Linked DNA regions of Drosophila melanogaster. Changing the gene in region 3 together with the main gene of any one other region gives a genetic interaction. Each region holds a gene or a part of one and is shown on either strand. Other genes may lie near its edges.

Region 1 (9,614 bases), on a different chromosome or scaffold from region 3:
ACTCCGTCACACCACTGAACACGCTGCCAAATGGGGAATCCGTATTCACGGTGAAACATATGCTGCAACCCAACAATAGTTGTCAGTTCCTCTATTGCATCAAGGTGAGATGAGTTGAATTCTCTTATCTATAAAAAATTCATACAATTTCGTATCTTGCGTGCAGCCCAAAGGAGATATTGCGAAGAATGTAGATACCCTGCGGCAATTTAATAATGTGGGTAAACTGGACATCGTCTGGAGGTCGAATCTGGGCGAGAAGGGCAGACTGCAAACCAGTCAGCTACAGCGATTGGTAGGTGTACAAGTTGTAAATAAAATAGATCCCAAATAATATTCTCATTTTTTAGCCATTCGAATGCAAAACGCTCCGCCTGGAAGTACTGGATGCGAAGAACACCATTAAAATCGGCACGATATTCACGTTCAATTGTCGCGTGACGAACACATCCGAGCATCCAATGAAACTGAATGTGCGATTGGCTGCCAAGTTTTCGCCCGATAGTCAATACACGGGCTGTGCTGATTTTATGCTGAATCTTCTACAAAGTGGCGAATCTGCCGAATTTCCATTGTCCGTCTGTCCATCTAAATTGGGCCTCGTGAAAATAACACCCTTGGTATTGACGAATACGCTCCAAAATGAGCAGTTCACCATTGAAAACGTCGTCGATGTTTTTGTTGTTAATTCGGATTACGATAATGATACCACAACTCATCAGAATAAGTTAATTCGTTACGAGAGTGCTGCAAGCTGTTTGACCCAAAAGCAAGTTCAACTGCAAGTTGTATAGAATTGAATAGATGCAAAAATGTATATTTTAAATTTATGTTAATGTGAAATGGGGTTTTAAGTGACGGGATAGATATTATAATTTATGTTGTTACTCTATGTAAAACGCCATACTTTAATAAAAAAAAAGTCGGCGGTAAAATTTTTAATGAAAATTTGCTGAAATGTCCTTTAGTGTGGTCTTGCGTGCATTATGGAATCCTTAATTTCAATTGCATATTTTATATACTTTCTTGTACAAAGATAGTTAGATCTCTCTTTTGTTAGCACATAACGAAAAAACTAAATAAATAAAAAACATCCCCATGTTCTCACAACAAATTAAAAAAAATACCCCATTTAACTTAAATCAAATATATTTGAAAATTTAGACCACATTTTTTATAGCAACACGGATTTTTAGGAACTTCTGCGCCGGTAACACTAGTCCACTTTTTAGATCACAACACTAGAACTTAAAATGTTACGAAATGTGTGCACATTTTCCACGCATTTTGGAAAATGCATATTCCAAGCCCAGCAACCGATTCGTGGAATGGCAGGCCATTCCAAATGGGCCAATATCAAGCACACCAAAGCACTGAAAGATGGGGCCCGAGCGGCGCTATTTGCAAAAATTTCGAGGCAAATTCGAATGGCCATTCAGGAGGGAAACTCCGCGGATCCGGCAATTAACTCCCTTTTGCGAACGGAAATAGAAAGAGCCCTCAAGCAAAACATGCCCAGTGGCACCATACAAAATACGTTAAACAAATTCAAGGCCAGCAAAGTGCAACTAAAGAAGTACCGACTCGACATCAAGTACAAAAGAAACGTGTACCTCATATGCATTTTCTATACCGACAACTTTTCTGGCGTTAAAATGGATGCGACACCGATGATCAAAAAAGCCGGGTAATATCTCAATTTGCATCATTTTGTTGGATATAATTTACCTATGAGATTTTTAGAGGCGAATTCATGGATGTTGGAAGCCTATTCGAGGATTTTGGATTGATTGAAACTCGCTATGATACTGCGAAACTTCAAAATGAATCCAGTTTGGAGGATAAAGCCACCAATGATGCTATAGAGTTGGGCGCCGAAGAGATCGAAGTCGTTGACAATGTCGATGGCTCCGTCAATGTATGTTTTCTTTTTTTTCATTTATATTATATAAATATTAATTTTCCTACATTTACATACAGTTCCTATGCAGTCCAGTGGTTTTAACTAGCTTAAGTAGGAACTTGGAAAAAGCCGGATACACCGTGGAAAACAGTGAACACATATTTTCACCAATGGTAAATCATTCATTTCATTCAATTTCATTTTATCTAAATAGTATTATCTTTCAGAATGTAGTGCAATTATCACCCGAAGAGCAAAAGACCTATGATGTTTTTGTAGAAAAACTGAGAAACCTCCCAGGCTTAGAGGATATCTATGACAATGTGGAACAAAAATGACTTGTTGAATAAAACGTTGAGTTTAAACTTGAATAAATAAATTTGTTTCTAACTGATTAAGATACACTGTTAAGTAACAGAGTGTGCAATTTTCAGTGTTCCCGTTTCAGCGCTAAACGTTTCTGTTATTTTAAAGCTTATGTAAACTGGCTGGAATACCCTTGACGATCTAAAATCCAGCTGTTTGTGTGCGGCCAAACCAATACATGTGGAATCAAAATCATCGGTCGAAATTGAAAATATGAATTATTTAAGAGTAATTCGGAATAATTGGAAGAAATGCACGTTCGGAGCGGCAGTATCTGTGTACGCGCTGCAAGCGCTGAAAACTCACATCGAGTATGCATTCAGAAAACCGTGAAAATTTGACGCAACTTTAACCCCCTTATTTGCTCTCCAGGATTGAACAACATATGCGGGAATTCGCCTCCAACATTCAGGCCAACTGGATATCGGATCGCCCCAAAAAGGTACTGGTGGTCATGAATCCGGTGGCCAACAAGAAGAGATCGGAGAAGTTTGTAAGTAGCTGGCACACAGCTGACTAAGATGATAACCCAGCCATAGATTTTCAGTTTAAGAACTACTGCGAGCCGGTTTTGCATTTAGCTGGATATTCGGTGGAGATCCTTCGGACGAATCACATTGGTCATGCCAAAACCTACGTGGAGGAGTTGGCAACGCTACCCGATGCCATTGTTGTTGCCGGCGGCGACGGCACCTCATCGGAGGTGGTCACTGGGCTGATGCGTAGGCGCGGCAATCTCTGCCCGATCACCATCCTTCCGCTGGGACGTTCGGTGCAGTCCGCATCCAAGCGCATCAACATCTTTGGCGTCAAGGACGTCGACTATGTGAAAAGTCTTTCGAAAGCCCTTGAACCTATGCTCAAGGATGAGAGCCAGTACCAGAGTGTGATCCGCTTTGATGTGATCAATGAAGAAGATGGCAGCAATAGCCAATTGAAGCCCATATTCGGTCTTAATGGTCTGTCCTGGGGTCTGCTGGAGGACATCGATGCGGCAAAGGATAAGTACTGGTACTTTGGACCACTGCGACACTACGCTTCCGCTGCGTCCAAGTCCTTTGCCGATAACTGGAGCCTTAAGACCGACTATGTGTACACACCGCCGTGTCCTGGCTGCGTTGACTGTGCTGCTACTGTGCAGCGCCAGGAGACCGCCCAGCCTTCTGGCCTCTTCACCAGAGGCCTCATTAAGTACAAGAATAATCCGGGTGAAACCAAGAGGCCGCTCGTCAAGAACGACAATTGCAGCAAGAAGTTCGAGGGAAGCGCTGAAGCCAGCCAGATTAACATCAATTGTGTTCAGAACAAGGATAACTTTGCGGAGCTGGAAAGTCAGTTTATAAGCTCCCTGCAGCCGGGCTGGGAGTTTATCAAACAAATTCCGGAAGTCACGTGCAGCAAAATTTTACCCAGCTTGGTGGTTAAGAGCAGGACTATTCAACTGCATCCGGATGGTGAAATGGGCGAGAAGTTTTACTCCATCGATGGCGAGGAGTACGATGCAAGACCCATTAAGGTATCTGTTGTTCCCAATGCTATTAAAGTTTTTTGTTGACATTTTAAACGTGTATATTAATTAAATCTTGATTAAATGGCGCTACTAGTATAGCATAACACATTCACAGCAAAAGTTAACCGCTATTTCTTCCCAAATCCAGAGCTGCGTATAATCATTCTCAAACTTCTCTGCGGTGATCAAAATCAATTTATCGTTTATTCGAATGCATGAGCCAGTTTTACGGCGCAGTACTTTTATTGTAAATGATTTTGGCTTGCAATTAAAGTGATCATACCAACATTTTCTGGCAATACACTCGATCGAACGGATATAGCGTGGAAAGTAATTTAAGCCTAAGTCAATCCAGTTGATCTTCGACGAGCACTCCCACGGCCGCTGCTTGAACCCATCGATTCTCGGATGTCCCACACGATCCATGAAGGCGCTTCTCGTGCGCAGACTCTTGCTCCTCGGTGCCTCCTTCTTCTTCTCTACCAGCGCAAAGTGGTTGGTCTCCCAGGCGGGAAAGTGGCTAACCGAAATCGCATCACTGTCCGCATAGAAGGGCAGCTCGTACGACGATCGCTTGTATCCCAGATGATAGCTCTTCTCCTCGGGCTCGCCCGGCGGATCGATGCTCATGTAGCGCGGATTAAATGCCTGTCCCAGAATTTTGGCCAGCGACTGCGTGGATAGCTCGGCGCAGTAATCGGCATCATCTTGAGCCGTCCCCAGCACTGCCAACCAAGTGAGCACAATGGCCAGTTCACTTTGGGATTTCATAGTTGGACACAGTATACGCAGAAACATGGCTGGCTAAAAACAGGGCTACACCAATATCAACCAATTGATTTATCGTGTTTACAGCAGTTATCGTTGCTCTCTACACTGTAACTTATTTAGGTACTAAAGTAATAACAGCCAATTCAATAAAAAGAAGGATTTTAATTTCAGTGTCATTGCGAAAGATTATAAATTAAATTTATTCATATATATAATTAAAACGCATTCTAAACTTTGGATAAATTTAAAGTTTTTTTTTTTAAATTAAACTATAAAAGATGGGTCTAAATATTTGAAGTCATAATAAAATTGTCATCATAAGGTAAGTTTCGCTACTCAAGTGGGCTCCAGTTTTTTCGACTATCAAACATAATAGCCGAAAAAACTGCTCTGATGGCTTTATTCGAAAAATCCCATCTCTATATATTCGTACCGTTATGTTTTATCAAAACAATAGAGAGTATATTGTACGTTGTAAAATATACATATATTAAATCTGCATTACTTAAAATGATTCCTCGTATTACAACTACTGAGTGTATGCTAGTCCTTGGGTTCTGTGTAAAGTAAACGAATCGTACACGCGCTGCAGCTCAGACAGACGATACTCCTCCAGGCAAACGATTCCCTGGAGCGACGGAGATAGCTTCAGCGCGCACGATAGGCAGTGGACCACATGTCGTTTCTCCTGCTCCTTGATGAACAGCACATTGAAAACCTCAACCTGCAAAGAGTGCACAAATGATTAAATAAACTGCATTCATATCACCTTTGGAAACTGTATAAATATGTTAATAATACTACGCTAAATACCTCGCATTGTCCGCAGTAATGGGATGCTTCGTTCTTTCCGCGTCCATTGAAACGTATTTCCACACCTTTCGATTTGACATACTCTTGTATGTGCAATACGTTTTTCAACGTTTGCAGCAAACACATTCTGAAAATTACAAATTACATATGTATGCCCTATAGTATCTGCATAATGGTGATTCCTATCATTTGCTAACTCACTTTATCAGCTCGAAAAGTTTGGTATCAGACACTTTAATATTCCTTGCAAGATTCCAGCTTAAATGCACCATCGGCACAATGCTCTTGAAGGCCTGCACTTTATTCCACTCATATCGCTCGATGGCAAGAGAATACTGACGGGCAGTCAAGGGTCCAACATTCCACGCAATGTTGTTGCACCAACCGATCGACTGAACCCAATGGACGCATCTGAAAGTAGGTTTGATTGTTAATACATCATCCTTCCTTTCATATTCAGTGCTTACCCGGCATTCACCCAAACCAAGTCACCGGGCTTTTGTATAAATCTATAAACTGGTATATTCTCCTTGTATAAATCCTCCAGGACGGGCCACCACGAGCCGTGCAGATAGCTAATGTTGTTCTTCTCGCAAAGATTGTGAACTCCGCCCCAGTAGGCGTCAGGGACGGCAAACCATTCACAGTCGCCAGGACCGATGTTGATGTTGATTGAGCAGAAGTTGTTGTTCTCTTGGTGGCCAGGCGTCCTACTTCCGGGCACCTTCATGTACAGCTGAACGGTGTTCATGCCCAAAATGACGTGGCCCACGTGTGATAGCATATTGGCAGCGGATATAACTCGCGCAAAAGCTGGCAGTTTTTGTAGCTCTGTTAATTGTGGTTTCCATTTCTTTTCATCGGAGAGGTCCACGTTGGTCCCGAACCTAAAAAAAAAAGCGAAATAAGCATTTAATTTATGTTCATAAAGTTCGTAATGCAGACATAAATGGTTTGGAGTTTCTATTACCTCAACATTTTGCTGTTTATTTTGTGTTTTTTACGTTTGAGAACAATGTTCGAATTGGATACCGAGTCCTTTGAGTCTGAATCCGACATTGCTTGCGAGCCGGGGAAACCTTTATCGCTTTCATCCTGCGGTAAAATAAGCTACACGATAAAGTAAACTTGTATTCATGTTAAAGAGGAACCAACCCAACGAACATTACCTTCAAGCTGTCTTGAAAACTGGATGCCTGATATTGGGCATATTTGGCTATGGTTGTGTGAGACCGATGGGAAATGCAGGCCCAGACGCGCTTACCCTGCGAAGTGTCCCAATTTTCATCGGGAGACTGGTGCACTTGTGTCCGAACCTCAACACTATGGTCCGGGTTGGCTTCCACCAACGTTTTGGTCGAAAAGAGACCGAGATCTAGCTTCAAGACGCCCGCTAAGCCGCGTACAACGGCAATCGGATGTTTCAGGCAAAACTCCTGCAACTGTGGGCTGAACGCGTGCTTCTTATTTTCTAAATGAACAGAGGGTGTGGGAGGCAGGAGTTGATCTCGCGTCAGTTTCTGCGGTGGGCAATCGGGCGGAGATGGCGGCGGCGCATTCACTTGCAAAATGGTACAGTGCACGGGCGGTTCATCAATCGGCAGCAGCTTCACAGCTACCATCAACTGCTTCGAGTCCATTTGTATTTTGAACGTGGTCGAGATGTCGGCGTTGTCACCGCCAATAAAATCATGCCTCGAGTCCTCATTGTTACTCAGTGCATCCTGGCTCAAACGTTCGAGCTTGATGCTCTCATTCTGTTTATAAATATCATTCGAGATGTCGTCGAAGGTGTCAAGAACACTTTGCTCCGAACTTTTGTTGCTCTCCGGCATGGCGTTGAAGTTGCGCTGGTTTAAAGATTCCGAAATGTCTGTTTGGAGTGTTAAAAAGTGATTTAATACTTTAAGATATATACTATTTAAATTGGTCACTTACTTATTAGATTTTGCGCTGATGTCTGACTGTTGTTTTGTGTTACTTCTTGTTGGCTTGTGCCATCTTCCTTAATACGTTTCGAAGGTATGGGACTTTGGCTGAGTTGGCTATGCGGATAAGGTGGTGGCGGTCCCTGTTTAAAAACATGATTTAGTTGATTGCCCACTGATTGGTTTAGGATTAAGGAATTCACCTGTACTGGACTTTGCTTTGTGACCTGTCTTGGTAGCATCTGCGCTGTTTGTTGTTGGCGAGAGTTCATTTCTAATGATATTGGCAGGTTCCAAGCTTCTTCGATTGAACACAGCTGGCGGCGCTTGGATGTAATACTTGGCAATGGTGCTTGACTGAGCTGGCCCTCCAGGAAAGTGATTCTCTGAGACAGGCCTTTCGACAGTCCAATTGTGTCCTTTTTCATACGTATTGCTTGTTTTTTTCGAATTAACGAAGACTTCTTCAAGCAAAACAAGTGTGTTAGGTATTGGAAATGGCTACAATTGCATATATAAATTTACCTGGAATGATATTTGTTTGGTTGCATTTAAGTAGCAAGCATAGGCATCTCGTAATTGACCACAGCTCTCATAAAGTATACCCAGGTTGGTCCACGCGGCTTTATGGTCTTTATCCAGTTGCACAGCACATATGTAGGCTTGAAGGGCATCCGTGGGTTGATTTTGTTGCTGATATAAGACGCTAGAAGTGCATGTGTAGAATACAAATAAGATAGGGGCCAAGCTAAACACATTCATTGTTATTTTACCCGATTGAGCACCAAGTATCAGCATTCCCCTCACTTTTTTCCACCGAGTTGCGATATGCTAGGAAAGCATCATGAACCTTATTGATGCCGGCGTAACACCTTCCTAGTAAATATAATGATTGTCCACTCTTTGGGTCAGCTTCGATTGATTTTTGTAGAAAATTTAATGCGTTTGCTTCACGTTCCTTTTTTTCGCCTAGGCATTCTACGCAATGGTACATCCATCCTATAAGGATTCAATAAAAAGTTATGTCTCTACCAGCTTAAAATATAACTTTTTAACTTACCTAATTGTCGATAAACATCTGCTTTGAGCTCCAAGGAGATGTTTTTCTCATTTAGAAGAAATTCGTAGCCATCCTTTGCCGCCTTGTGCTTGTTTTGAACTTCGTACAAATGCGCGATTTGAAATTTGACTGCAAAGTATTAATAATGAATAAAGTTTAAGACACGGGGTGAACGTACTGCAAAATATTTAAATTCTGAATGAATCATAGAAGTTTGCCTTCATCGTATTACTTGATAATTCAATGTATGAGGACTTTTTGCATATAAGTTGTTTATATATCAATAATAAGATAACATTTTAAGATGATAAGTAAATAACTGAAGAACAGAAAAACCTTTTCAGATCACAGTTTTAATTACACATGAAACTTATATGCAAAAGTTTATAATTATTCAATAGATCTTACCCTGAAGTTCCGAAAAGGTCGAAGGATATGTATAAAGCAGCGCCAATTGTAAATGTTTTAGGGCAATATGGAACTCCCCGCAGTGTTTTAGCATAAGACCTAGACGCAAATGAACTTCATTTGCACATGTAAAATTGGGACTTAGGTATAAAAGCTCCTGAAACGATTTGATGGCCCTGGAAAAAAGTAAGTAAATTAATTTTTTTATTCGTTGTTCTGAATTATTTGTTATAACTTGAATGTATTATTTTAATTTATTAAATTTTGTTTTATATTTAATTTATAGTAATTGTTTACAGTGAGCGGTGTTTACATAAGTGCATACATACTTATGTGCATGCAGTCACGTACACACATGCACGCGTATGTACATACATACATACAAATAACCATTTGAACAAACAAATTCAAGTAACATACTTAATTAAACTAGAACTCCGATGATAAGTGCACAACAGTAAACTTAAATGTTAATCTCCTAAAATATGCCTGCAAAATGCAGGTTTTGTTTATAAATAACAATAGAACTTGCAGCCGTCGTGTCGGCAGACATGTCTGCGTGCACTCAAAAAAACGAGACAGACCGTTTCATGGCTTTTTATCAGATAGAATTGCACTGAGAATCATTGATTATTTGCGTCGGACGCGGTCTGCCTAAATGTTAGCTTTCGAAATTAATAAAATTAAACAAAGAACACATTTTACCCCGCAATTCAACTAACGACCTTAAAGGGGGGCACTCATTGCATTTTGTACACAGACACACGCACACACACGCACCGTGTACATACATGCATGCATGTAACGAGAATTTATGTATTTTTATAACAGCGAATTTGCAAAAACAAACAAAGG
Region 2 (11,573 bases), on a different chromosome or scaffold from region 3:
GTTCACCAGTCCATTGGATATGTTTATATTCTTGAGTAGCATTACTTGGGCGTTAACTTTTAGGTACAACTGAGATGGAGCCTGGATCTGTTGATCCAGTGTCCTGGTCATGCTGGCATCGGAGTCGTCAGCCTTGAATAAAATCTTGTCGCCATCGAGGTTTTCCAGCTTGGACTCGTTAATGGAGTTCGCATCGTTTGTGTGGGAGCAGAGTTGAGTGGCCAGAATGCCGTTTCCCTCAATTTTCTGCTTTGATGTAGCTGCAAGTCGACTGGTTATGGAATCGTTCACATGGCCAATTCGGAGGTGGTTCAGAATCTTTACAAACTCCGGATCCGATTGCCGATGCACTTGCTTCAGTTCGTAGACACACTGGATGCAAGTCTCCCATGCGGAGGACTGAAAGCAGAATCGTTGCTGGGGCGTGGCAGTGGGGGCTGCACCAAAATCTCCCTTTATGACCGGAGGCAGTTGCAAGAAGTCACCACACAGGATGAGCTGTATGCCGCCAAAGGGGCGATCATTGCGCCGAATGTGACGTGCGACGGCTTCAATTTTCTGGGAAAATAATTGTTAACACCTTGCTGAATTCAAAGTAAAGATAAAGTACCTCAAAGAACTGTCCGTCCACCATGGAGATCTCGTCAATAATCAACCGCTTGCACTTCCTCCACGTCTGGGCATTTGCGGGTCGGGAAGCCAGCTCCAGACACCGCTGCATGGTGGCGTCTCCTCCTCCTATGCCAGCGAAGGCGTGCAAGGTGGTCCCACCGATCAGGCAGGCTGCCACTCCCGTGGAGGCCGTGGCCACCGTTCCATCGGGCGGCAGGGCTGAGATGATCCTGCGGAGCAAGAAACTCTTGCCAGTGCCTGCTGAACCGGTGAAGAATACGCTCTTGCCCGAGGTGCACGCCCGCAGGACTTCCATTTGCTCCTCACTGAGTCTCAGCGACTCGTCGGTAGTCGACGCATATAGTTTCTTGGCCGCGGGCATGGTGCCCCGTTCCTTCTCCTCCTTGAGCTCCTCGAAGCGACGCTTTTTGGCGCCCTGGGGCGACGGCGTGGTCACTGACCCCTTGGACAACAAACCCGCCTTTTTGCGCGCCAAAATCATCTCGGCCGTGGTGACTGGAGAAACGTCGTTAAAGCTGCTTGGCTTGCCTGACATCAGGTGCTCGCGGAGTTTCTTCTGCAAGGTCGCATCGTCCGGCTGGGATCCTCCCTCGTTTCCGTTCATTTTAACGAAGATCGTCCGCAGGAAGAACATCAAAGTCCCCGGCGGTGCATTCGATAGATAGAGGGTGCACTTCTCCGCCTTGAAGTTGAAGGTGGCCTTGCCCTCGGACATGAACTTCTTGTGCACCATCAGATCCTTCAGCTTGAACTTCAGGGGCTTTAGTTTCTCCGGCGTCACCTCAACAAACAATTCACGCAAATCGTTCCGCACCAGGCGCAATGTGGCAGTCTTGTAGGCCAGTTTGCGACCCGTGATGCCCACCGCATTGGTCCACTCCATGTTCACCGCACAGGTGAGCACTGCGTCATTGAGATCCATGGCGAAATTAACTTCACTTCAGTCAGTTTCCGATTAAATTAAATTAAATACAAAAGCCAAATCTTTTCCATGCGCTTGGTCGCCGATCGGCTTATCGATATCAGCGTAAAATTATCGATATCACATCGGATGGCGTGAACGCATCATGATCGTGCACAAGTATGTTATAAAGTAGCAAAGTTCCACTCCAGGATCAGCTGTGTTACAATTCCGTTACAATTTAAATTGCTACATTTAAGGATTACAAAACAAGTAGGCCAGGAAAAGTAATTTGCTATGCCTATAACTTTCAATTGCACACTAATTAAGAAATATCACCATGAATGTGGATCTGAGATTGATTGTGCGCCTGTTGCTGGCCATTCTATTGACTTCCTTGGTAACTACCATTTTAATGGGCAAGCAGATACACAGAAGACTCGTGAAGTCCATGGTCAAAACAACCGGCGAAAAGGATAGTTTGCCAGCAAGGCAGCTCCCAAAAAGGGAGATCAGCCCGAAGGTCGCAGATTTCCCACCACCACTAACACTGAACCAAACTGAACTGGACATCTTAAAGATCCAGCGAAACAATAGTTTCCGCCTGCCCCAGCAAGAAGCTATTAAGGAGTGGCAGGATGCGATTTTCTTTAAAGAGGATAGTAACCGCAGGGGATTGGGTGAGCAGGGAAGAGCAGTTCAGTTACCAAACGCTAAATTAAACCCCGATGATTTCCAAGACTTCTATGCCGAACTCTCCGATCGCATTCCCCTGAACAGATCCTTGCCGGATACCAGACCTATAAGGTTAGTTCCTATGAAGTTTAAAATACTATACAATTTAAAGACTAAGAACTTAGTTGCCGGAAACGGAAGTATCTGGAGAACCTACCCAATGTGACAGTGATAATAGCCTTTCACGATGAACACCTAAGCGTTTTGCTAAGATCTATAACGAGCATTATAAATCGATCTCCTGTTGAGTTACTCAAGCAGATTGTGCTCGTGGATGACGATAGTAATTTGCCGGAATTGGGACAACAACTGGAAGAGATTGTGGCTCAAAACTTTCCGAAAATTATTCACATACTAAGACTTCCAGAACGACGTGGTTCCATCAAAGCGAGAATGGAGGCAATCAGGGTGTCCAGCTGTCAAGTTTTGGTCTTTCTAGACTCCCACATCGAAGTCAACACCAATTGGGTAATATTTAAAAAGGAATCAATTAATGTGGATAAATCTAGATAATTTCCTACTTTATAGTTGCCTCCCTTGCTGGAACCTATAGTTATTAACCCACATATAGTCACCCGTCCCATTTTGGATGCCATCTCACGCAAGACATTTGCCTATGCCAAACAAAATACGATGACTCGCTCCGGTTTCAATTGGTGGCTTGAGTCTGAGAGCTTACCAATTTTTCCTGAGGATAAAAGTCCTGATTCCACACCCTACCGTACACCGGTTTTATCAGGAGCTATGGCGATTGACAGGAACTATTTCTTGAATCTGGGGGGATTTGATGAGCAGCTGGACACCTGGGAAGCCGAGAAGTTCGAGATAAGTTTTAAGGTCTGGATGTGTGGTGGAATGATGCTGTATGTACCTTGCGCCCGGGTGGGTCACATAGGTAAAAGACCCATGAAATCGATTAGTAGTCCAGGATACCACAATTTTCTGGCCAGGGTAAGTGGAAAAACAACTCAAAACATGGGGGGTGGCGTATACGTAATATATTGTTTAACCTATTAAGAATATTACAACATAATTTAATAAGAGGATCTCTCCCTAGAACTACAAGCGAGTAGCTGAAGTTTGGATGGATAATTACAAAAAGTATGTGTACGACAAGAATCCGAAGCTCTATAAGATGGCCAATGCTGGTCTGCTTTTCCAAAGGAAAACCAAGAGAAATGCTCTGGAGTGCAAGACCTTCGATTGGTACATGACCAAGGTGGCTCCGGATTTTCTTAAAAGGTACCTAGCATTGGATTCGCCTTTGGTTTTCTCCGGGGTCATTGAAAGTGTGGCATTTCCTGGATTCTGTGTGGACTCCCTGAATTGTAGACACACTAAGCCCGTGGTTTTAGCCCGGTGCACTGGGCATAATTCAATGCCCGGCGAGCATCAGAACTGGTCCTTAACGCAGGATCATGAGATTCAACTGACGAACAGCAAAGATGATTGCTTGGAAGCGCAGGGCCTACGCTCAAAGTCGGTGTGGCTCTTTCGTTGTCACAAAAATGGTGGGAATCAGTACTGGTACTACAATCACCGTCATCGGTGGATCCAACAGGGCCAAATATGGGTGTGGTGCCTGGAAGCCCAATTGGCTAGTGGTCATAAGGTTGGCAAGGTTCTGGCCAATAAAATCTGCGATAAAAACCAACTGGAACAGCAGTGGAAAGTTGGGCGAAATGCGCCATATGATCCACAAAGGGAGCCTCATTAATATGTATAGCACAGCAATTATTAAAATAAATATTTAAATACAATTTTAGATACGAATTTTGCCTTATATGAAAGTATGCCTTCAGATACAGATGGCGCTCACGCCAATCCCCAGCCCAGTTCAAAGAGTGCCTGTGCAGATGGCGCCACCATGACGCGCGCTCCGCTAATTTGAATTCGCATGCAGAGATATTTCGTATATTATTGTTCTTTTCGCCCGACTTTTTCTCAGGTGAGTGTGGGATCTGGGCCTGACCTTACACGTCACCGGGCAGCCGACTCGTCTGCCACTGATTGATAGTGGAGAAGCGTGTTTTTTGTGGCCAACTGAAAATGTGAAAACTTCTTCGCCGCCTTATCACTGAGTCGCGGTTTCCCAATTACACTAATGGCTGTGCTTTTTGCCAGGTGGCTGCTCCTCTGCTGCATCGGCATGCCAGCAGTCAGTATTTTGGACTTCCGCCGCCAAGACGTCCACATGGCCATAAAAAAGAGATATGTAAAGCGCCTGTTGCGCAAGGTGGTCCTCCTCTTGGTGGTCATCGTCACTGTGTCCTTGGTCACCACTTTGGTGGTCGAACGGCGAATGAAAAATGCGGCGGAGCTGACGGAACAACTCGATCCGAATGGAGATCCCATAACGCCCGTTTTTAGGGCTGCCAATATACATCCAACTCGGAAAGCGCCACGACCACCATTTCAGGATCGCAACTCCGTGGTAGATATTCCGAGAAGTGACAAACTCCAGGGATTCCGACTACCGGAACCGAAGGGAGAGCGCAAGGATTGGCACGACTATGCGGCCATGGAGGCGGATAGAAAGCGATCCGGTTTCGGTGAGCACGGAGTAGCCGTAAAGATCGAAAATCCCGATGAGAAGCAGTTGGAAAAGGAGCACTACGAGATGAACGGCTTTAATGGCCTCATATCGGATAGAATCTCCGTCAATCGATCTGTGCCAGACCTCAGACTCGAGGCGTAAGTACATTCCCCATAGCGTGTTATCAATAGTTAAAACACTTATCTTATCTTTACAGTTGCAAGACCCGGAAGTATCTGGCCAAGTTGCCCAATATCAGCGTGATTTTCATCTTCTTCAACGAGCACTTTAACACCCTGTTGAGATCGATATACAGTGTGATAAATCGCACTCCACCGGAATTACTTAAGCAAATTGTGCTCGTGGACGATGGCAGCGAGTGGGATGTTCTGAAGCAGCCTTTGGACGACTACGTCCAGCAGCACTTTCCACATCTGGTGACTATAGTGCGCAATCCGGAGAGACAAGGTCTAATTGGAGCCAGAATAGCTGGAGCCAAGGTGGCAGTGGGACAAGTGATGGTGTTCTTTGATTCTCACATAGAAGTCAACTACAATTGGGTAGGATTTTCTAGTAAGCAATATGTTTGGATACAGAAGAATACTCTATGTTGCTATATTTACAGCTGCCTCCCCTGATCGAACCCATTGCCATTAATCCCAAGATCTCCACCTGCCCCATGGTGGATACTATTTCGCATGAAGATTTCTCTTACTTTAGCGGAAATAAGGACGGAGCACGAGGTGGATTCGATTGGAAGATGCTGTACAAACAGCTTCCGGTTCTGCCCGAAGATGCGCTGGACAAGTCCATGCCGTACCGGAGTCCCGTGATGATGGGCGGTCTATTTGCCATCAACACGGACTTCTTTTGGGATCTGGGCGGATACGACGACCAGTTGGACATCTGGGGCGGTGAGCAGTACGAGCTGAGTTTCAAGATCTGGATGTGTGGCGGTATGCTGCTGGATGTTCCCTGCTCGAGGGTGGCACACATATTCCGGGGACCCATGAAGCCAAGGGGCAATCCAAGGGGACACAACTTTGTGGCCAAGGTGGGTGCTACTCTCTAACCAGTTCTACTTTTTTAATTCTAATTATATTTGGTTTTAAATCTCATTTAGAACCACAAGCGCGTGGCAGAGGTTTGGATGGATGAGTATAAGCAATATGTGTACAAACGCGATCCGAAGACCTATGACAACCTGGATGCCGGAGATCTGACCCGCCAGCGTGGAGTTCGAGAGCGACTCAAGTGCAAGAGTTTCCACTGGTTCATGACGGAGGTGGCGCCTGATTTCCTCGTCAAATTCCCGCCCGTGGAACCACCTAGCTACGCCGCCGGCATCATTCAGAACGTGGCCAACCCGGTCTATTGCCTGGACAACATGGGCAAGTCCACCGAGGAGGCGGTGGGTATGTTCAGCTGTGCGGACAATAGGACCCATCCGCAACCGAATCAGTTTTGGGAGCTCTCCATATTCCGAGACCTCCGGATGAAGGGCTTCGATTCAGTGTGCCTGGATGTGCACGAGGGACCGCCGAATGCCACCGTTTGGATGTGGAGCTGCCACAGTCAGGGTGGCAATCAGTTCTGGTACTATGACAGGCAAACCCAAAGGTTGGTTCACGGAGAGAACAACAAGCGCTGCCTGGAGGGATTTGTGGAGAACGGCATAGCCAAGGTGGTGGCCAATTCCTGCGAGAATGGCAACGATCGCCAGCGCTGGGAGTTCGGATTCGTGAACCACACTATGCTGGACACCTTCTACGATGGATTAAAGTAGACTTTCATCCACGAGCCACTAACAATTCGAGTAACCACAGGCCAGATGTCGATCGGTTCAGGTCGGGGACCGCGATCGTCACGGGTTTAGTTCATTGTTCGTTGTGAAGGTTTCTGAAAAAAAAAGTTCGCTAAGTAAATTCCATTTTTCCATTAATTCTTGCCCCATGCATTATTGATATATGGCAGCGGAAAGTGAAAGATCTGGACAGGCAGATCGCAATCGGAGCGAGGATTCTGTCCGATCGCGAGCCACAAACTCTGATCTTTATTTGCTGTACGTACACTATATTTAGGTATTAATGTTTCGAAGAGATCCTCGACTACTTGTAAAGTTAAGAGATCGTAACTATGTGAAATTAAACAATAATAAAAGTTACAAGTGTATTGTAGAATCAATAAATACCTTAAACATTTTCTTTTTATATAATATAGATGTAATCGATGTAGTGAGAGCATCTGTAGTACTTCTTCACTTCCGATTTGAATTTTCGACTGTCGCAAAACCTTATCAGCAGGGCTGTTGACCTTTCTACAAAAGGAGAAAGAGGAGTCGGTAAGAGGTAGCAGACACCAGATAGACTAGAGAAGTTCCCACCCCTCCGAGGTCTGAAGTCCGAGATCACCAAAAAAAAAAAAAAAACCAGACATATTGTTAAGCTGATGTAATTTAAGACGCAGTTGCGCGATTGTCCCAGGAGAGGACGAAGATCGAAGATCCCTGGATGAATGTGGATGGATGGCAGCAGGCAATGACTTAGCGTCAAGCTGTCTCGATCTTGGGCTGGCTTTATCCTTATCTATGCAGTTCATTATCTACCAAACGAAAGCACATGCTAATTTATAGACAACGTGATGTTGTTTTGCTCATTTCCTCCGCATTTTTTTTCTCGTCGCTTTTCATATTTTGTGCATAAACAAAGTCAAGTGATTTGATTTTTTGGCCAACGCGACGGCGACGCCGCTTCTCAATCGGATTCACCGAATGTGGGTCATCGACGTCAGCGGAGATGGGGGTCTTATTTGCTTCGGAAGATTCCCTTTGTTAGGGCAGTTCACTTGTTGATGGGCGTTTGGTAATAGATAACAAAAATGGTCAAGTAGTACTTGTATATCTGCGAGTTTTCTTGGAAACTTACTTACCACTGAATAAAATGTGATTTCCATCTTAAGTAGGATGGGTAGATAATAAGCTATATGATATTCACTCTATAAATAATTTGAATTGGTAAACCACAATACATAGTCCTAAATACCTTTATATTATATTGCAATAATACAGCACATTCATTGATTTGATTACCACGTGTATTTGGCAGAGTATATAAATATCATTGGACTTTTTTGTTTACGTTTCTCATGGTTTTCGCTCTAGCCGAAAAATATAAACAAGTCGATGTCGTCTAGCCCATTCACAACCATCTCAGACTCGTTTGGGAATAGAACCCACCGATGGTAATGACCCACCGTTCGTCCGTATGTTTCACGCAATTCGATGGTGCAATTTCATCAGCCTCCCCGAAAAAGATTTCATCCGAATTTCACTATATATGTACGTATGTATTACCTGTCCCCCGGCGGATGGGAAAAACACCCCTCGGCGCTTAGAGAACCGGCTAGGAATATCTCAAGACGCATTTTAACTTGGCTGCAACGCAGTAGGAAAACTGCCTGCCGTCTCTTTCCTCGCGGCTATAGGCCTGTCTCTCTCTCTTTGCGCAGGTACATCATATTGTATCTGATGAAAACGAAAGCAAAATCCGAACTGGTTTCTTCGAGGGTTGATAAGCCCTAATGGAGGTGGAAAATGCGGAGAAGAGCCGCTCTCTCACCCAAAAAATAAAATATATAAACATATCAGCCGGCACGTAGGGCGGTTTCTATGCTGTGGACTACGTGCTAGATGACACGGCAAAATTGTCCGTGTTTTTCGTGTTCTGGCTCCCTTGTTTACCGTTTACTACTTTGGGGGTCAGTTGGCACCCAGCTAACTCCCACCCCCATCTAGTGTAATTGATGGATTTGGGTCATGCTTTCCCCAATTCAAATATGCTCCTCGTCACATGGAAATCTACTTTCAAGGTCTGTCAAGCTTCCCCATTTAGCCATCATAAATATTAGCACGCTTAAGTATCGACCTTGTGCAGATTTCTAGGTGGGCGCCATCCCCTGTCCCACATCGAGATCATGATCGCCGCAGATCAACACACGTGGCCACCTTTTGTCAACCCCATATCCCTCGGAATGGCCCGTGGCCAATATCCGAATTACGTCGAATCGTGGGCGCCAACGTAGGCAAAAGTTCCTGTAGCACTATTTACATGCGTCCAACGATTAAATATCGTCAACATCGCCCCCGCATAGCTAAAACCGCTCGTGCCGCTGCTTGGATCCACCCTATGCTTGCTGCGATCAGTGGGGCATATTAGTTTGATTCCAAACAAGATATTCCACCTCAAAGAACTTGGGAACTAATAAGGGTTCGATCACCAAATTTGGTGATATGATATATGTATTTCTTTAGATATGTGCGCTAATATTAAACGGCTAAGAAGTCAATGTGCCAAAGAAAAGATATTAAATATGTATGTTTCATATCAGTCAAGTTAAATTTTGATATGAGCTAAGCGTACTTTTGGATTGTGCACTCCTAAATATAGAAATCACGCTAAAATTGCATATCTAAGTAAATAAAGCAAGTAAGTTATGTAAGACGTGTATCTTTTCGTGATAATTATTTCAAAACGGCTCGTGCCAGATAATAATGAACACTTTCCGCCTGAAAAAAAGTGAAATGCTGGGTATCTTTTAGCCCATAAAAACCTGCAATATCGTTGCTCAAATTGCTATGCTCCGCGAGTTCGCACATGCATAGAAGGCACTCATAGCCTACGTCACGATTGCCGGCGACGTGTCTTTATGCTAATTAATGGTATTTCGCGAAAACGAGTGCAAAATAATGGCCCCATGGAGAGAGCGGCAGTACTTCACGAAATTCTGCGGAACACCTCTTGACTCCCAGACAGCCATAGATAAGATCCCAATTGCACCTGAGTCATCATCATTTCCCTAGCAAGATCGACAATAGACTTGGTTTTTAGAAAAGAATGCGATTGGCGTTTAGTGCTGTTGGCTAACTTGTTTACCAATAATATTGCCGTGCATTAAACAATAACAAATGACCAAAGATAAACAAGAGCTCAAGGCGAGAAGCCCCTCAAGACAGCCCCCCACCATCGCTACACCCCTTATCATCTAGAACCTCCGAGGTGTGCAGGCTGCAACAAAAATAAGAACAATAGGGGAATATATTAGAATACGGCAATAACAACAAGAACCAGCCGGTTTGTCATAAACTACGCAGAAAATACACCAGATAAAAACAAAAAACATCAGCCGACCAAGCAGAATAATCAGGCGAGAGAGCAGGCGAAAGAGCGAGAAGAGAGCGAGAGAGAGTAAGAATGGGGGGGTATAAATAGAGCCACACTTCGTAATACCGCCAGCAATCGCCTAGCGAACAGCCAACGGTGAACACATAGCAGCCACACAAGCTCTATAGCTGATACAAGCAACGAAATACAAACAACGCAGTTTGTGTAAACAATCAAATTGTCGCAGCCATATCGAGTGTGCTTACACGTCCAGCGGAAAGTTTTCGAAACCAATCCAATCAATCAGCTAAGATGTCCGCTTCACCCACCGCCCGTCAAGCCATCACCCAGGCCCTGCCCATGATCACCAGGAAGGTTGTCATCTCGGATCCGATCCAGATGCCCGAGGTGTACTCCTCGACGCCCGGCGGAACCCTCTACTCCACCACTCCTGGAGGTAAGTTTCGAAAATTGGAAGCTGAGACTACATCGAGTATTATTAAGTTCCTTCCGGAAAGTGGAGTGATTTTCTTATCATTAGATATGATATCAAGATGAAATTAATCAACATATTTCGAAAACATAAACAAGTATACCGTTTCTTTCCTTTGCTCAAACAACAAACAAGCTTTTGTTTGAGTTGTGATACATTATTTTTGTAAAACTCACTCACCATTTTTTGGCTGATGAAACTGGGCCATCTCGCCGAGTCAGTCAGTTGGAAGATAATCCCGAGCACATGTTCCACAGTTCGTGACTCAGAGTAGCGCGGCAAAGAAGCGTTTACTCAGCTGGCTTATCAGTGGGGAACTTTGAATACCTTTCTGATGCAACGCAGACCACCTTGACTAATAAAAATTTCCGCTTTCCTATAATTCCAGGCACCAAACTTATCTACGAGCGGGCTTTCATGAAGAATCTCCGTGGCTCCCCATTGAGCCAAACTCCGCCGTCCAACGTGCCCAGTTGCTTGCTGAGGGGAACTCCGCGTACTCCCTTCCGCAAGTGCGTGCCCGTCCCCACGGAACTGATCAAGCAGACCAAGTCGCTGAAGATTGAGGACCAGGAACAGTTCCAACTGGATCTGTAGGGGGTGTGGCGTGTACACCGCCATGCAGCAACTGCCAAATCCAACTAGTTCTTAGATGCACCCACTAAAACCGATCTTATAAGCTTAGTGTACCCATTAACTAGATGCTAAGTTCTTAGTTCTTCCACCTTGTTTGTTCTCTCGGTCATATTGACCCCGTTACCTTGTAAAATCGTAGATCTTAAGTAAAATGCAATAAAAAAAAGGCACACATTATTTAAAAGAGAACCACACCTTCCATTGGGATTCAGTAGCTGCCAATTTACAATTATAAATTTTAATTTATGTTTGAGAAATTCAGTGCCAAATTACTTTCTTTATCGGCAATTCAACCTTGGCAGGCCACGCGTTATGTGATAGAACACTTTCCACTTCACCTTGAGTCAGTTTCGGTTTAGTAGTATTTTCGGCAGTTTGTTGAACTGTTTGAACTGTTTACGAAGAAATTTAGCGAAAGGGGGCTTTTTGGGGGGCGGTACACATGTTAGACAGCTGGAAATACCGGCCGGCTTTTTAGTT
Region 3 (11,068 bases):
AATTATAACTATATAATTCTTTTTGCACAAACAGGAGGATATCAATTCGATCGAAACCATTTCCAGTTTAACCAGGTTTCAGGGAAACGCCACAGACTTCGATTGGATCGACGAAATGGTGGGACAGCGAAACACCAACGAACTGATACATGCGAATAAGCGAAAGATGTCCAAAAAGGTGGAGGGCCTGGCCGCCGACCAGTTGGATGCCAAATCGTTAGGCTATGACAATGACAAGGCCAAATTGAATCGCAAGGAGTACGATGACAACGATGAGAAAGTCGTTAAATGCTTGTACTACTCACTGATGTGCTGCGACTGTACTATATCTTAAATGGATCGCATCTTAAATACGGATCCGCGTCCATGTAATATACCTCTCAGCCAACTATGTAAAAATATATATATTCGATTTTGTATACTTAGCGTACGCAGCTAAATAGGACAGAAGAAGACATAAGTATTAACGAATTTCTAATGATTTACAAGGAAAAACTAACATTATGAAAATTCTGAAATCCAAAACTACATGGCTACAATAATTTGGCTTGAATATTGAAATAAGTGATCGAAACACATATATATTTAAATATGTAGATATTTTCTATTTTTGTAAATAAAACATTTTCTACCAACCGAAACTCTGCATTTCACTGGGATGGATGGATGCACTGCAATCTGAAAATATAAATATTCAACAAATGAGATGAAATGTTATGAAAACCATAATAATAATGCCTTCCCTTTCATTTACGTGCATCGCAGAAATATGCTTGACAAATAACAACGATAAATAACAAAAGAAGAATGGGTTCAGATACTTAAAAATTGTTTACATTTATTAAAAAATTTATTAAACTAAAAACAATAAATCCTAAGACTAATTTTGTTGTATCGAAAGCGATATTTTCTCTTGTTCTCGGATGTTTGCCAATAAATCGATCAAAATTTATTTTGGTTTTTTTCTCTCTTAACCATTTTTATCTTCCCTATTTGAATAGAAAAGATATGGCTGGGAACAATAAAAAAAAGACACTGTCATCATTCAACTTGACATAACATTTTTCATAAAAATTTAATACAAACATTAAATTTACAAATATATATATAAAAACAATTCACAATCACATATAAATTTTTATCATTTTCAGATGTTAAATATTTCGATTCGCTATATTCCTTCAAAGCAAGGTTACAATTTACTAGTCCAGAGCAAGAAAGCCAAGATCAAAGTTCTTGATGGTTGGTTGGTTTGTTGGTTTGTTGGTTGGTTGGTTGGTTGGTTCAATTACGTTCGCTGTCGCGTCGTCCATTGATCAATCAATCAGCTACGGATGTTTGTACGGCTTGTGGTTGAGGAAGGATGATTTTTTCGTTCCGCATTCGTATGCCTATCGTAATGAAGAATATCATCATCATCTCCGTTCGCATTGCACCTTTGTAATTGGGTCTCTGCTTTCTGGGCTCCGGCTCCATTGCAGTGAAACTCGATCGCATCAATATCATTTGTACTCTCAATGTAAAATTCGTGTCCATGATCATTGCCTTTGCGGTCGTAGACGATCCTGTTGTTTATATCTGTGCCCACGTTGCCGTCCAACTCGTCATCGGAATTATCACCATCTGTATCATCGTCCTCGCCAATGTTAAAAATGAATCTTGCATCGCTGGTGGGCTTAGCGGACAAGTTCTTTCGCCTGCCCGACGACGTGTTCGCTATTTTCCTATATCGCACTGAATTTCTGGATACATGGTTGCTGTTGCGCTGGACAAAGAGTACGAAACTTGAACTTGAAATTATATTCAATTACCTTTAGTCCAGTTTCTTACCTGTAAAACAGCAAAGATGATGGAGAATATTGTTATGATCAGCAGGCATATGGCCACAGCTATGGCTGTGATTGCCGTCAGCGGAGAGTCCAGTCGCAGGACGAACTCCCTGGCATTGCCATCGTTCTCGAAGGATCCGTGCTTGGATTCGCTGCTTTTGTACGCACTACCACTGCCCACAACCGTGCGCCGCTTGCCACCCGTCGAGGTAGCCTTGCATTCGCCTGAAAACAGTTTCCATTTCAATTATATTAGATCCTGCAGCTCGTATAAACTATTTGCTTACCGGTTTCGCCATCGCAATTGCAGCACGCCGCTGACGAAGTCTTTTCGGCCAACGTTTGATTCTGACAACAGGACACACACTGGCTGTTCAGCTGGTCCAGATGAAGCGGCGGCACACAACCCTTGCACGAGAACTGGCCGGGTCCGAAGCAGGAGCGGCACGAATCGTGGCACGTTTTGCATGTTGCCGACGTCGTATCGTAATATTGTGAGCTCAGGCACTCCATGCACAGACCGCCATCGAGCATCGAGTGTGGCGGACACGACGTGCACGCCAATGGTCCAGCATCTGGAAAAGCAAAATATTGGGGAAACACATTAGCCACCATGCTAGAAGATTGACAGTATATCATACCATTGCACGTCTTGCAGTAATGGTGACACTTCTGGCATCCAAAGTCCGATTTGTAAAAGCCCTCGGGGCACTCGGGATGGCATTCGCCGGCGGCCAGTTGCCATCCAGCCGGGCACTGGACGCACTGGTTGCGCCTCGGTCCGCTGCAGGTGTGACAGCTGAGATAGCACTTGGCGCAAATGCCACGATCGCTGTAGTATCTATAATGATATACGGCACACATTGAAAGCTGCAGCTCCGGGACACTGGTGGTAATTCAATCTTAACAGCTTACCCATCGGCACAGGTGGTGCGACATTCGCCATTCTGCAGCTCCAGACCCTTGGAGCAGTTACTGCAGTTTGTCCGCGAGACGCACTGGCTGCACGTGTGCAGACATGGTGAGCATAGGGAGCCCGCTTCCACGAAGAAGCCCTCGCGACAGCCGCTAACACAGCGACTCTGTTCCAGCAGTCGATTCGGCGGGCAGGACGTGCAGCTGGTATCCGCTGGACCGTTGCAGCTGCCGCAGGAGGCGTGGCACGGGCGGCATTGTCCCTCAACCTGGCTGTAGAACTCAGCTGCAGGATGAAGAGCATGTCAGCAAATTATACATTAAATCAAGCAATTTTTGGCAAATTAGCCAGGATATAAACTGCTTGCTTATGGATGAGCTTACATTCACTGCAGCCTTCGCTGCCGCTCACGATGCACTTGTCCCTCTTGTTTAGCGTCCAGTTTTGAAGGCACTCGGAGCAAACTCCGTTGCTGGTGCAGGTCTTACATCCCTCCTGGCAGGGCATGCACTCCAGACGTTTTTTGTCGGCATAGAATCCGTCCGGACAGCTAATAAGGCATTTGTTTTGCCAGGCATATCGACTCGAGCGGCACGTGATGCAGTCCTGGTCCGTGGGGCCATTGCAGGTGGCGCAAGTCGAGTGGCAGAAGGCACATCTATTGAACGCGATGTGATTAACAAATTAAGCTCTTATTGAGAGCTAATCAAATATATGTTTACTCACTTGTTATCCTCCGTTTCGTACGTATCCAAGGGACAGGCCGAGTAGCATTTGTGCTCATGCATAACCAAATGGTGATCACAGCTAGTGCAGTACTCGGGATGGTCCTGGCATGAGGCACAGTTGGGCTCGCAGGGAACGCAAGTTCTATTCCTGCTGTCTGTGGAGAGTACAAAGAAATAATTGTTTAACAATAGCAAATTTTTGATGAACAAAGCCAGATTATTACTTTCAAAATATCCGTCCGGGCAGAATTGCAGGCAGACGGCGAGATCGATGACGTGCAGGTGGGCCGGAGCACATGTGAGGCAGCTGTCGGGTCCGGCACCGGCGCACGTTTCGCAGGTGTCGTGACAGGGCCAGCAGATTCCAACCTGGTTGGGAAAGGAACGCGGTGGGCAGCGACTTACACAAGTACTGTAAACAGAAAACCATTAGCACCCGAGCTCCACAAATGCGCATGTTGGTACCACTTACTTGTCCAAGCGGTAGTGACTGCAGGCAACGCACTGTGTGGGTCCACGGCCATAGCAGCCGGAGGAGTCGCACTCGGCATCGCAGGAGTGCAGGATCTTCTTGTCGCCATCCCTCGTTTCGGGCGCCGCTACCAGTTGAGCAGCAGAGGCGGTAAATCCAAGGGATTCAGCCGACGAGCCGCCAGCAATCGCTGCGGTCACATTCTGACCGTCCAATGTAGCTGTTGCCGGTTCCGGATCGGAGCCAGCGCTGCTAAAGATGTTCTGATAGTTGAGGTAACTGGCAAAGCTATCCGTATTGAAGTTCCCACCCTCGTTGGCAGGCTGGCCAATGTTCGAGGCCGATGGGAAGAGGAACGGATTGGAGCTGCTTGGGCTGCGCAACTGGGGACTGCTGTTCAGCAGCTCGGACTTGAGCCGCATGGGCTGAGTGGAAGTGCCATAGAATATCAGCTGCCACTTGGACAGGATGCCCGGCTGATTGACGCGCCGGCGTCCGCCGTTGATCACCTGCAGTGTCCAGCGACCCTCCGCCTTCTCGCCCCAAAAGTGAACACTCAGGAAGGGCCAGTCATCGAAGTTGGACTTGACGATGTCGCGCGGCCTCTCAAACAACAGGGTACTGGTGGTGCCCATCGGTGAGGTGAGCAGTATGCGAAGATTTCCTCGCGGGAAAAACCGTAGGGTAATGCGACATTGGACATGCTCTAGGTAACGCACTTCATTGATCGTGCCCGCACACCCATTGACATCCATATGCGTGGACAAGGTGGAACCGTATGCACCATCTATCTTGCGATCCTCATTATTTTCCCGCGACTTGCAGATGTGCTGCGGCGGCACCGATGTCCACTGCTCCGCCAGTGACACCATTGCTCCAGCATCCATTAAACCGTATCCAAACTTGTGGCTATACTTTCGCTTAACACCGTTCAGTGTCCATCCGTTCTCCTTCTCCAGTGGCGCCGGTCTTGATGTGTACACCACCAAGTATTGCATGTCGCGCCAAGTCAATTCCGGATTGGCCTCTAGCGCCAGGGCGCAAATGCCGGCTGCCAGTGGTGCCGATGCCGAGGTGCCCGTATGTTCCACCGTACATATATGATCGGGTCTCAGGCTGCCGTCCATGTCGACGGTGGCGACGCTCTTGTCATGTCCCGGCGTTCCGGAGCTGTAGGTGGTAGCCAGCGTGGAGGAGCACTCCTCCAGGTACCAGGGCTTGAAGCTGCAACAACATTACTGAATCAGAATCCAAGTCTACATCCTGTCAACTTACCCGGCTTGAGTGGCACTCGAAATGGAAAGGGTGAAGATCGAATTGGTGTAGCCATCGCAGTTGCAGGAGTCAGTGTAGCGTCCACCGTTGCCAGAGGCCCAAACGAATATCGAGCCCTTGCCCTGTCGTCCGCTGGTCACTCCGTAGATGAAGGCTCGGCGGGCCAACGGACCAGGACCATCGACAGTGGAGCCATCATCCTCCGGTCCCCAGGAAGCGCTGTATATATCGATGTGTGACGGATTAAGACTCAATGCCTGGGCCTCAACCACATCGTTGACCTTTCCGTCCAGCATTCGTACTCCTAATAGCACAAACAGCTTAGATGGTTTGCAATTAATACATATCAACCATGATCACTTACCACCAATGCTGGCATTGTAGGCCACTCCCACTCCGCAAAAATTGTTGAAAGCCACCGCGGCCACTTCGCCGGCACATCTGGTTCCGTGCTTGTTGTCACCATTGTCCTGGGGCGTTGGATCCGAATCGTTGCCATTTATATCGAAAGAGGCCTCGGGATCCTGCGTTTAAATAGTATTTTTAACAATTGATCATTGATTTTTTTTTGTTGGGATACTCACATAGTTTTGGGCCAAATCGGGATGGTTTGTCTGAATGCCATCGTCCAGAATGGACACGACCACGCCCTTGCCGGTGTAGCCCTTTTGCCAGGCGGGACCCACATTCATGTCCAAGCCATCCTTGGCGCCGCCATTCTACAAAGCGATTTTTGTGGGAATTTACAAATTGATTATTAAACATGACATTGGCGAAGAGATAAGCAAAAAATAGGCAATCAATCAACAAAGAAATCCAAACATTTACAAATAAAGCATGTTAAATGAAAAGAAAATATTTCGAAATCAACAAAATCAACACTAACACGGTTAGTAGCAATCGATTGAACGTCTCAAAGGAAACTACGCTGATGGTATAGAGAATCGAGCTAATAGACTAATGGACTATAAAATATATATGGATTCATGAAGCATGCATTTAAATGAGAGATGATTACATACTTTACTCACCAGATACCACTGTTCCTTAAACAACGGATCCGGAAAGATGAAATGCGAGCTGACATCCCGGTACTCCATGCGCTGTGAGTGCGAGGCTAACGAAATCGATTCTGGGGAGAATGAAAGATGCGGATTCGGATCGACAACGTAGCCGCCGTGTTGGCGTAAAAGATTATACGGACTGTAGGTGGGTAAGTCCTGGTACGGGCCGTCCCTCTTTCGGCGCACCTTCTCGTGCTGTTGCTGCATCCATTTCACCTGCAAGGCAATCATGATTGAAATCTCTGCTCCAACTGGATACTTTTTTAGAGAGTACACACCTCGTTCTCTGATTTAAGGGCGCCCTGATGTTTGCGACTAGAGCGCAGCGAACGCTTCGATACATGGTGATGCTGAAACAGATAGTAGTTGTCCAGCGATCCAATCTATGAAAAATTAAGTAAATTGTATGAGCACCAATTCCATTGCAGCGTTGGACAAACATTCTCACCTGTCCTCTATTGATAAATCCATGTTTGGTAGCTATAACATCTGCCATTTGCTTGCCAGCTGGAATGTTGACGGCGAACTCATTTGTGTATATCGCCTCTTCCGGAATGCTGAAGGCGCCAAACATATCGACCCCGTCGAAGTCGAGGCTATTTGACTGCCGTTCAACAATTTCATCTTTCGCACTGGCATTTGTGTGAGTATTTTCATAGTTATAATCGTATTTGCCGCCGCTAATGGTCTCAGCTTGACCCGCTCTTTCACCTCCCAGGCCAACCAGGTCGACCTTGTGGAGCTCTCTGTCATTACGATAATCAACATCAACATTCGATGATGATGATGATGATGATGATGGGGGATTTGTTCTTCTACTGCTGTGCAGGGACGACACATCATATGTGGTCGTTGCACTATCGTTGCTGAGTATTCCGACATAATTCTGAGTCTCACCCGCACTACTCCGTAGAGCACAACTAGTATTTGGGCTTAGGATTACTAAAAATAATACAAAATATATACAGCTCTGTGCCATTCGGTTAAATGTACATAAATAGATTCTATTGAGTTTTGCCGTTGCCGTTTCTTTTGCTCTTTGTGTTACAGTCGTTCCAGGGTCATGGACTCGCATATGGAGCATCATCTTTCGCCGTCCGATCTTTCGGTACGTTGGCTCTGCGAGAGATTTGGGGCCTCCACAGCGGGAAGGTCGCTGCTTCTCCAAGCCGGACGACCATGGATCTGTGATCTGTGGCGTGGTTCCAATTCTACCGATGGTAACTCGGCTGGACCTCGTCGTATTTGACATATTTAACTAAGTTTAGCTAATGGTATTAAGGTAGTTTGATTCTCCCGAAGAGTCCTTTTGCGACGTTTCCCTTTCCTGTTGTCGTACTCATGAATCTATTTTTTTGATCTCGTATCTCACGATCTAGTATCTGCAAGAGAACACGAAAAAGCACTTCAATTGTAGATTGAATTTGTGTTGTGCGAGAGACCCAAATAAAAACCTTGGACCGGTTAAACGTGGGCTTTTTATAACCAGAGATGCCAAAATGATTCATATATCACAGATATTTATGGCCGAAACGGTTTGTGCTTACTTATTAATGAAGTGCCTATTTGCGATGATCCATTGTTCGTCGGATGACACAACAGAATCACCTGGGGGGAACTACAGGTAAGTGTTAACAATGAGTAAGCCATATATGTACATATCTCTGTACATACATATGTACGTATCTATGCACATGTGTATCCACATGTCATTTGATTCTATTGTTTTCGGTCAGAAAGTCCCCCGAAGTGTAAGATGCAGTGGGTCTGCAATAGGGGAATTATGCATTAGCCCATTCTAATCATGTTTCTAATTAACATATTCACCACTACGGAACCCGAGCTTTTAAATTGAATTAACATTATTATTTATTGAAATAGCATTATACTGAACTCAGTAGCAATTGAAAGCAAAAAAAAAAAGGTATAAACAAATAACGGGAAACCGGGGATATCACTTCATCGAACCCCGCTTGTTTATATGAAAACCCTATTAAAAATCAGAGAGTTACCGTAAACCTGCGACCAAATGAAGAAATTTAATTTTATAATCAAACCAATTAGGCATTGCCAACGCGTTTCCAATTAGAAAATAATATATGTATGTATGTATGCACACGGCGCTGCATATAAATTTATATTATCAATGTTTAAATTTGTGCACGCATCTTTAAATTTTAATGAGTACATGTGTATGTATGTATGCATGTATGCATATGTGTTAGTCAAGTGATATGTTTATCCCATATTTCGATATACATATGTACATAGGATATGCAGTTATGCATGCCCGATATTGCATAGCTAGACGCATATGCTACATGAAAAGGCTATTAAATTATGGCTATGGTATCATATCAACAGTATCATATGTACAGACAACATCTATTCCGGTCTCTGTTTTACTGTGCCATTCGTTTAAAAAAAGAAACATACATATATGGCTGTGTTTGCTTGTAAGGAAATACTTCACTTTGCCGAGCATAATCCTACAAACGTATGCATATGTACGTGTGTATACATGTTTCTGGGCAAGTTCAGCTTGTACATCTCCCATTTTCCATCTCAATCACTCTCGCTGTATTTCCCACATGCTTATTAAATCACACATCTCCACATTTAATCACACTAATTTCGCACTGTGTGCACACTATCAACAAAAAAACAACAACAACAATTAAGCCACCAAGCCAACTTTTTTTTGTATGTATACATTTGCGTCCGATAATGTTTATGTGGCTGTGTGGGTCCGTGGGGCTTTATACACATTTGCAATTTTTATGCGTAAGAGTTGCCATTTCGATGGTGCATACATACATACACCCACAGATGTATGAAATCACGTAATGCAAGCCATGCATTCGTATGCTCTTTGCGTACATACATACATCATTGTGCATCAGAAATGGCAATAGCGATTCATGTAATCCAAAGCATTATATGTACATACATATTTATGCACAAATTGGCTCAAAGCGGTCACATTTAGAAATAAATCACAGATACACTCTTTAAGCTTTATTTAGCTATTGTTAAATCAATGCAATGCTATGCAAACGCAATCGAACAGACTGAAAACTGAAACTGAGACTTGAAAAGCGAAAGAGAACGCATGCTTACCATGCGTACATACAATATAGGAACTAGCCGAAAGCCGAAAGACCAAAAAGCCGACCGAACGAACAAGCGACGCAACCTCGACTGCGCTCCAGCTTAAACTGAACTTTATTTTGAAGTTAATACATATAGCCAACGTTGGTTGTTTCTTTCTCGCTGGATTTGTGCTAACCGCATACACAAACACACGCCAAGTATTAACGTACAAACGAACATACAAACGTACGTACATACAATCGTGCAATCAAACATTCGTACATTGGCAAGTGTACGTATGTTTTTACATAAAGCACAGCTTTCGGAGCTTTCAAAACAAAATGCAAAACATAACACGCAACCGTGCTGTAACAATAAAAAAAAAGAGAAATATCAACTATTACGTACGCACGCATACACCGACGTGCATTTCGTACCACAGCCGATGATAAATACACATTTAAGACGTGTTTCGATAGGAAACTGAAACTTTCGTGCAAGCCAAGTACATACATACACACAAACCGCTGGAAGCTTGTCCATCCATCCATCCATACGTATGTTTGTACCGTACATACATACGTGCGAAGACGCTCTCTAAGCGCTGACATTCAAACAAGAGATAACATTTAGCGGTAGCGCAAGGTTTTCGTTGTTATTGGTTAGCCGAGATTAGCGTTTCCATTTTCCGCTTTTTTGTGACCCGAAAAACAAATGAATCCAGTCGCACAAAATCCCCCATAAATGTTTGGTTGCTTGTATGTATGTATTTAAGCCAAAGATTTTGGCAAATCCCAAATGTATGTACATACATATGCATCTTGAGCCCCGGTATCGCTACACAAACACGCTCGCAAATACAAACAGATGCGAAGGCAACGCGCTACTTTTTAATATCTGCTTCACCATTAAACAATTATTAGCGGTTAGGACAGGTTATGGTTGTTTCCAATGGGAAGTAATACACAAACCTTAAGCAGACGCAAATTGGAAGTGCACTGTAATAAAAAAGGCCTTGGAAGTAATATAAAAATTAAATTATTTATTTCAATTTCGCTTATCGCTGACTTATTTTATGTTGCCGGAAATACGAAAAAACGTATCAAATCGAGCGGGTTTCGGCATAAAAGAAATAGAAAAAATGAATGTTTCCAAAATAAATAAAAATAAATTTCCTGTTTTTCAGCTATATTAAATTATTAGCTTTCTATTCGATTGCTATTTATAGATTTTAATGCCAGTTAGACTTGCGTAACAATAAATAACAATAAATAAAAATAAATAAAAATAAATTGCCTGTTTTTCACCTATATTAAATTATTAGCTTTCTTTTTGATTGCTATTTATAGATTCAAGTGCCAGTTTGACTTGCGTAAAAATATGTTTTCAGATCGGTTTTGCAGTGTTGCCAGATTGGTGGTAGCATAGGTAAACAGCTGTTGAATGATACCGTTAAATAAGATACGAGTTAGATCAAATAAATTTACTAAAATAATGCGATAAAACGAAGCTATTAGAATGATTATTACGATCAAAAGAACTTTGTTTAGAACATTTGGATACAACCTTTTTTATTTGAAAGGGTTTTATGCTTATATGTTTTAATACTTTTTAAATCTTCAAAGCTTTTCATTTCAGCTCATTGCAGTTCCATATCCCCGAATTAATCATAAAACAATTAACCAATTTAA

The links.
Region 1: of Fur2 (region 3) and trk, changing one enhances a phenotype caused by changing the other (phenotypic enhancement), as found in Drosophila melanogaster (one study listed by BioGRID).
Region 2: of Fur2 (region 3) and Pgant4, changing one suppresses a phenotype caused by changing the other (phenotypic suppression), as found in Drosophila melanogaster (one study listed by BioGRID).

What each region holds. Positions count from the first base shown.
Region 1 is NT_033779.5:10,267,633-10,277,246, forward strand, and holds trk (trunk), read right to left. Parts: upstream 4,693-9,614; 5' UTR 4,578-4,692; coding exon 3,870-4,577; 3' UTR 3,825-3,869; downstream 1-3,824. Other genes in the region: CG4953 (uncharacterized protein), read left to right, coding at 1-104, 167-295, 351-794; CG4957 (uncharacterized protein), read left to right, coding at 1,329-1,687, 1,744-1,918, 1,981-2,076, 2,131-2,241; Mulk (Multi-substrate lipid kinase), read left to right, coding at 2,483-2,580, 2,642-2,762, 2,817-3,824; Utx histone demethylase, read right to left, coding at 5,080-5,274, 5,364-5,490, 5,565-5,774, 5,831-6,250, 6,334-6,473, 6,533-7,236, 7,302-7,434, 7,495-7,755 and 4 more.
Region 2 is NT_033779.5:3,468,340-3,479,912, forward strand, and holds Pgant4 (polypeptide N-Acetylgalactosaminyltransferase 4), read left to right. Parts: upstream 1-4,263; 5' UTR 4,264-4,463; coding exon 4,464-4,963; intron 4,964-5,022; coding exon 5,023-5,365; intron 5,366-5,430; coding exon 5,431-5,859; intron 5,860-5,928; coding exon 5,929-6,591; 3' UTR 6,592-6,999; downstream 7,000-11,573. Other genes in the region: Pif1 DNA helicase, read right to left, coding at 1-558, 611-1,555; CG31776 (uncharacterized protein), read left to right, coding at 1,875-2,341, 2,395-2,737, 2,798-3,220, 3,327-3,986; thor, read left to right, coding at 10,277-10,421, 10,846-11,054. UniProt on the Drosophila melanogaster protein: Glycopeptide transferase involved in O-linked oligosaccharide biosynthesis, which catalyzes the transfer of an N-acetyl-D-galactosamine residue to an already glycosylated peptide.
Region 3 is NC_004354.4:16,371,524-16,382,591, reverse strand, and holds Fur2 (furin 2), read right to left. Parts: upstream 9,507-11,068; 5' UTR 9,405-9,506; intron 9,371-9,404; exon of another isoform or gene 9,169-9,370; intron 8,963-9,168; exon of another isoform or gene 8,758-8,962; intron 8,052-8,757; exon of another isoform or gene 7,832-8,051; intron 7,667-7,831; 5' UTR 7,537-7,666; coding exon 6,733-7,536; intron 6,668-6,732; coding exon 6,563-6,667; intron 6,501-6,562; coding exon 6,243-6,500; intron 5,940-6,242; coding exon 5,805-5,939; intron 5,745-5,804; coding exon 5,585-5,744; intron 5,525-5,584; coding exon 5,221-5,524; coding exon of another isoform or gene 5,217-5,220; exon of another isoform or gene 5,170-5,216; coding exon 3,946-5,169; intron 3,886-3,945; coding exon 3,698-3,885; intron 3,629-3,697; coding exon 3,472-3,628; intron 3,404-3,471; coding exon 3,129-3,403; intron 3,031-3,128; coding exon 2,745-3,030; intron 2,671-2,744; coding exon 2,471-2,670; intron 2,405-2,470; coding exon 2,117-2,404; intron 2,055-2,116; coding exon 1,831-2,054; intron 1,766-1,830; coding exon 1,325-1,765; and 2 more. Other genes in the region: CG9992 (uncharacterized protein), read left to right, coding at 35-334; nonA (no on or off transient A), read right to left, coding at 11,045-11,068. UniProt on the Drosophila melanogaster protein: Furin is likely to represent the ubiquitous endoprotease activity within constitutive secretory pathways and capable of cleavage at the RX(K/R)R consensus motif.